Saccharomyces cerevisiae S288C: one gene and its partner. Changing the gene in region 1 together with any one later gene gives a genetic interaction. Each region holds a gene or a part of one and is shown in the gene's direction. Other genes may lie near its edges.

Region 1 (3,962 bases):
GGTGCTATTATAGATCTTGAGACTGTGCATTATAGGAATTCTGCCTTGAGAAATTTACTGGACAAAGGTGAAGAAAAGTTAAGTGTATGGTATGAACCTTTATTGCGAGAATACTCCAAAGCAGTTAACGGAAAAAATTATTCCACAGGCAGTGAAACTAAGATTGCAGATTGCAGATGATTATGTTGCATAAGCGCAACTATAAAGGCGGCCTTGATTGTTTAATGTACTACCAGTATTGATTCCTGTCTGAATCAAAAACTAACCTTTTGGCGAGGTGGCCCATTCAGTTTTCTTCTCCATAAATTGTATAAATCAGTATGTAAGGTCTGGCAAGTACTTATAATTCACATTTCAATGTCTATGTAGCATGCATGATTTTTATTATAAAGAAAAACTATTCGCCTAAGCGCGTTCGTTTCTTTCCCACTAATTGCGAACGATTTGCCTATATAAATACTTAACGGCACCCCAATCATCCACACCCTCTGAATGCCGTTCTTCAACTACTTTTAAATCACTCTCTTTTAGTAATAATTTCAAAACCTCTCGTTCTTTGGCGTATTTTGCCCTTAAAGGTATTTCTAGGTGACAGGTCCCTGATGCCGCCAAAAACTTCGATATCATGTTAACTACCCATTCCGGATGCTGAGGCGAATATATCGGGTCGGCGATCAATATGACGTCAAATTCATTTTCATGTCCAAATTTATCTATAAAATCGTGAGGATTAGTCCAATCTAATATCTCTGCTTGAACGAAATCTCCTAAATTATTTAATGACACATTTTTCTTCAAATTCGTCACAATCTCGGGTAAATCCGTCACGAAGATTTCTATATTTTCAGTTCCATAAAGTTCTTTCCATTTTAAGGCCCATGAAAGTCCTACTAAACCAGTGCCCGCTCCTAATTCTAATACTTTAATCTGTTTGATGTCGCTGTTCGCTAACATGTTCACATTAGTGGTATGTAGGTAATCCAGGTGATCTACGACTAATTGTGAAAGTATTAAAGATGATCCCCATGTTTTCCAACCAAGATTATCGGCCGTTAAAGAGGGTTCATGAAGCGGTATGGAAGTGCTTAGATTTCTTAATTCAAAATATCTTACTATGGATGGTTGGGCCGTTCTCCCACAGTTTTCGGATATCCTTGAGCTCAATTCCTTAAGAAGTTCTTGTATGATTTCCTCATTCAATCCGCAACTATTATTGTATTTTTTCAATACACTAGTATAGTAGCCCAACAGTAGTTCTTTGGATACTGTAAATCTCAGCATTGGGATTTTATTGCATATCTTTTCCAACGAGTTTAACCTCTTGTTAGGCCATTCTTCTGTATACCAAGTCAAAAGTCTTTTCAGCAGATCGGGTTCCAGCCCATGACTCTTGCAAACCTCCAGTACAGATTTGTTCTTCCCTGTCTCCTGATTGAAGTTTACTTGTCTATCGGGCTTCAGAAGTATTAGTATACAAAGGATAACTTCTGGCGGAGCATACTTCACGGAGGGCAGATCCAGATTATCGATAATGGTGTCATCGTCGTCACTCTCTTCTTCATCTACAGCCGTTAATATTTCGTCACGTTGCGGTGAGCAAGGATCTTTTGGCTCTCTCTCTGCTAGATTGAACTGTAAAGCCTCAACCTGGATGTCATCAGGGGTGTACAAATCGAGAGGATCAAACATAGTGAAATATCCGCTATGGAACTCCTAACTTGCATGAGTTAGATACTTGAAAAGTAATATACAGATTGCACTACTATTATTTTGTAGCTCATCGCGAAATTGAAGAAAAAATTTACGATTGGAAAAAAAAAAACTACTATCAGAAATAGGTGAACCAATTTTAATGCCTGGATAGAGCTGCATACGCTACTAGCTTAAACCAATATTGGTGTCGCCTGTTTTCCTTTACCCAATCCAATATACCACTATACTGCGAATGAAGGTGTTGAAATAATTTGACAAGAGCACTTTATCCATTTTGCATGCGACCTTTACTAGCAATTTTTCAGCGATCTTTGCGGGCTTTAAAATAAGGTCAAAATTAAAGGGAGAAAGATAGAAGACAGTAAATAAAAAATACAAACCACAATAAGCATAAGTGGCTAGGCGAGTCTTAAACTACAGAGTCAAGCAATGGCAACAGACCTAAATCGTAAAAGAAGTGCTACCTCAGGCTCACTGAGCGTCACGAACCCGAACATAAAAGCAACTAATCGCAAACCAGCTAGAGTTTATAGTGTTTCTTCTGATATAGTACCGCAAGCGCTGACACATCCCGACGAAGATGTGCATCTAAAAACATCCAAATCTCCTCATGATGCCGCTCCTAGATGGTCACAGGTGGGGTTTCAATCTATATTCCATGATGGTTCCAATGCAAGGCGCTCGACGGATTCGATTGAAGAGGAGTACAGCCAAGGCACGGAGAATAACGATGGTCACTCCGAAATAGGTTCATCAAGTAGTAACCGAATGGAGGGGAACACCACGTCTAATGATAGTTTATTTTCTTCCAACTCAAGGGGCAATAAAAGGCGACTGTCCATCTTCACCAATTCAAAAGATAATATGAGAAATCGAAGCAGGAGCGGGTCAAAAAACTACGGCACTGTTATTACCGGCACAAGTAGTAACAACATAAGTAGGAGTGGCTCTAAATTGTTTCATACGAAATCTAATATGAGTGTGAACAGTTTACAATCTTCACTGTCTACAGGACATTCTCATTCAAACAAAGGCAGTAATGTCTTTAGCAAAATGGCAAAAAAGCTTTTACCCTACAAGCCGCATAATTCCATTGGTAAAGACGACGTTGAACCCGTAGTTCCCAGCCCATTCAGTAAATTTCTGCATTCTTCATATGGTAAACATAGGTCACCCGTACAGTTTATCCATACTTCTACTGGAGGCCTTATTGACTCTGGAAAATCTGTATATTCCTTTAACCCTAGCATTAACAACAACCCTAATGATACAGCTCTATCGCTGATCCAAGATGATGCTTTCGACGCGACTAATGTTTCTTTACTACATGATTTACTGAAAAACTTGCCATCCTTGATAGCAAACTATAAAAGCTTCACCGTACAGGAGTTATTTGTTCTGGAGGGGAATATCTGGGGTATATACTGCAGCATAGTTGTGGAGCTATTTAAAAACAAGAGGGTATGGCAATTGCCAGCAAAAATAGAAGATATTGACCGGCTGCTGGAATTTTATATCACTTTGAAAACACAAACCAAGGCTGCCGTAACGCACTCAAGGTTTTTGGCCGAAATCGAGGAATTCATTACCACTTCACTTTACATTTTAGAGAACCAGATTGTGTTCAATTATGCCAATGAGGATACCGTAAATACGGCTTTGAAAAGAGTCGGCATAATCTGGAAGGTGTTTTACCAACAGGTTTACTACGACATGATGGCAGTGTTACTGCCCTTCGAGAAAAGCTTCCAAAAAAATAGTAACTACTGGCTTGACGGATATCTATCTGAACCTTCAAGGTACGCACCGTCAATTGATGTCCTTTTATTAAAGTGTTTTAGAGACTCCATCATTCTTCCGTATTACGAAAGCTTCCTACATACAAATGACGGTGCCAGTAAGAGTTTTCAAAGATATATTTTCAGCGAGGAAGAACAGAACGGCGTCACAGAGGAAGATAAACTGACGCTGCTGCAGTGTTTTGGGATCCTGAATACCATAAAAGGTAACAGCAGAAACCAAAGAATTATTGGTGAACTTCTTGAGGGCATACGCATGAGTATATAATTAAATATTTTATTTAGTAATATACAATAGTGGCATATAGATAGGTGTATTTCCTTTTTCTTGTTCCAAGAATCCGGAAAAACAGATGCTCTTTTCCGCCCTATAAAGGGGCCAATGGGGAAAGTGCAGATCATATTAACTTGCTAAAGAGTCAGAAAGAACCAAATAATAAAAAGAAGAAC
Region 2 (2,938 bases), on another chromosome or scaffold:
TGCATTGAATTCATTGCTATTACTGCGGCTGTCTTTTGAATCCCTGTTCATGACCGCCGTTCCATCATTTGTAGATTCATGTCCTCCCAAATCAGATACTGTTTTGTTTATGTTTGAGGTCACTGTATCAAAATTCAAATCATCTAAATCTTTTTCATTGATATAAGATTCCATATCGGAAATATTGTTGCTTTCCGTTTCCGTCAAACCGTCCCTACTCACCGATCCGTTACCGCTGGCGCTGCTTCCATCTCCATGTATACCTTTATTGGCATTCAGTGAATCAGATTTTTGTCCATCATTTTTATTGTCAGTTAAAAAAATTTTCCCCTTTTGACTTGTGGGGAAATGAGATTTTAACCTTGAAGCACTTCCTATATTGCCATTTGAACTCTCTCGATCATCAAGAATGCTGATGCTGTTTCTGTTATTTGTGTAGGTGTTGTTTTTATTGTTGGACATGCCGTTGATGCCTTTGTGGGCTGGACTTGCTCCAGAACCCTTAGCATCAAAATCATCATCTAACTGAAAAAATTGAGAGTGTATATCGTCACCTTCTTCGTCATCGTCGTCGTCATCATCTTCTTCTTCTAAGTTTTCATCGAAATCGAAGTTCATATCGAATTTACTGCCTTTCTTATTATGGCGAGCACCAGGTGGATGCAAAGTAGATGATTTTGCTCTTGTATTAGTTGTATTCATGACATTTTTATTTCCAGAAGTATTTGAGTGGTCCCTTCGACTTTTGAATATCCTCACGAAAGGAAGCGACGATCTCTTACTAGATTTCTTCTGCATTTCCATCGAACTATTTAAATATGAGTCTTCCTTTGAGGAAGTTTTGTGATGTTTTCCACTGGTATGGTCGTCATCATTTAAAAGAGAGTTCGACGCAGATGAATTAAGTGGATTATAACGAAGTGTTCCATTTTCTTCAACTATCAGAGTATTTTTTGCACTTTTATCTTGCAAATTTCGTGTTTCTTCCTCGTCTCTTTCAGTCTTCTCTGCTCCTATTAAATTCTGGTTAGCCTTTCCTTTTTGGCCTTCATTCTCCCTCATTATCCTCATTTTCCCTAATGAAGCATAGTTTTCCATAAAATCCTTAGATACCGGTGGAGACTCTAGTTCAGGTAACAAGCTTACGCCGTCTGAGTTCATATATAATTCACGGATAGAAGAATCTAAGCACTGCTCTGTGTTGAATTCATCTACGGGTATGTACGGTTTTATTATTCTTTTCATTTGATCTTTCTCCGGACACACTCGTAGAAACTGAGCCCGCAGTTCATTTAATACCGTCACCGTGTCCATTATCGTCTTATTATGGTGTGGTGGGGGTTTTACAAACACTGTTTTATTTAGTTTTCCTGTTCAGTAGCCTGTATCTATTGAGAATTATTATACCGTATATTTTTTGACGCGGGCTGATATGTAAGGTCGGCTAAAAAAAAGAAAAATTTCAAAAGTTAAACTAACCTCATCGCAACCACAATCCATTTAAAGCCTGGTTCTAGAGGCTTCATAGACGTTTACAGATTTAATAAAGTAGATAGCGTACAGTTTTAATGGCTCTCTCTTCAAACTGGCAGGCACTATTAGCCTCCGAAAGCAATCCTACCTCCAATGGAAAGAATAAGCAATCAAATAGGAAAATCAGAAACGTTAAGAAAGTTAGCAAAACAGTAAATGTCAGTAGTACAACCCAATATGCCCCTCGAAAGCGCAAAAACGGCAGTAAAATTATGGACATGGTATATAACATGAACAAGGAGATTAGTAAGCATGAGAAAGACAAGCTCGAGGGAAAAGTGTTTGAATTCAACCCAAATAAAGCAAATACTAGTACTACTATTAAAGAGCCAGTAAAAGTGGGTATTTCGGAAGATACTCGTATTAATAGTAATAAGAGTAAAGAAATTGGGAAATACATCGCCATGGATTGTGAATTTGTAGGCGTTGGTCCCGAGGGTAAAGAGTCTGCGTTAGCTAGAATATCAATCGTAAATTATTTTGGACATGTCGTCCTCGATGAATTTGTTAAGCCAAGAGAGAAAGTTGTAGAATGGAGAACTTGGGTTAGTGGTATTAAACCAGAGCATATGAAAAATGCCATTACATTCAAAGAAGCTCAAAAAAAGACTGCGGATATTCTGGAAGGTAGAATTCTTGTAGGGCACGCTTTAAAGCATGATCTCGAAGCATTGATGTTATCCCACCCAAAGTCACTACTCAGGGACACTTCAAGACACCTCCCATTCAGGAAGTTGTATGCTAAGGGTAAAACACCCAGCTTAAAGAAATTAACCAGGGAGGTTTTAAAAATTTCCATTCAAGAAGGTGAGCATTCTTCAGTCGAAGATGCTCGTGCCACCATGCTATTATATAAAAAGGAAAAAACGGAATTTGAAAAAATTCACAGAAACACTTTCAACTAAGACGGTAGATGAATGGCCCCTTTTATTCTTACAATTAAAATGCATTGGTATGTACATTAGTCTATGTGGCGCTTGAATTTACTGAGCCATTCATTACACGATAGAATATATAAAAATTGTAGCTGTATAAAAGCAACCCACGTAACAAATTGCGAAAAATTAGCGATAAGAAAACCCTAACATGAGATATGTACATTCATGCTTACAGATAGATATTGATATTTCTTTCATTAGTTTATGTAACACCTCTAAGCAGAACATGACATCCTTGATAAAATCATTGTCATTATTCTCTTACGTTCATAGATATCTTCAGGTTTTACATCTAAAGGTATCATCATGTCGGAGTTCTTCGCAAATATACCAGAAGAAGTCACAATCGATAAACCTCTTTTGGTTAGACGTTCAATGGATTCTTCGTGAAGTTTTTCTAACGAATTAGACTCTGAATGCGTCACTAATAAGTTTAAAATATCGAAAGCAAGTGGAACACAATCCGA

The links. Genes that interact genetically often act in the same process or in processes that back each other up.
Region 2: mutations in BIT2 (region 1) and REX4 together harm fitness more than expected from each alone (negative genetic interaction), as found in Saccharomyces cerevisiae (2 studies listed by BioGRID).

The regions. Positions count from the first base shown.
Region 1 is NC_001134.8:742,579-746,540, reverse strand, and holds BIT2 (Bit2p), read left to right. Parts: upstream 1-2,142; coding exon 2,143-3,780; downstream 3,781-3,962. Other genes in the region: HSM3 (Hsm3p), read left to right, coding at 1-180; EFM2 (S-adenosylmethionine-dependent methyltransferase), read right to left, coding at 430-1,689.
Region 2 is NC_001147.6:180,058-182,995, reverse strand, and holds REX4 (putative 3'-5' exonuclease), read left to right. Parts: upstream 1-1,568; coding exon 1,569-2,438; downstream 2,439-2,938. Other genes in the region: AVO1 (Avo1p), read right to left, coding at 1-1,314; Ras GTPase activating protein IRA2, read right to left, coding at 2,687-2,938. UniProt on the Saccharomyces cerevisiae protein: Exoribonuclease involved in ribosome biosynthesis. Involved in the processing of ITS1, the internal transcribed spacer localized between the 18S and 5.8S rRNAs.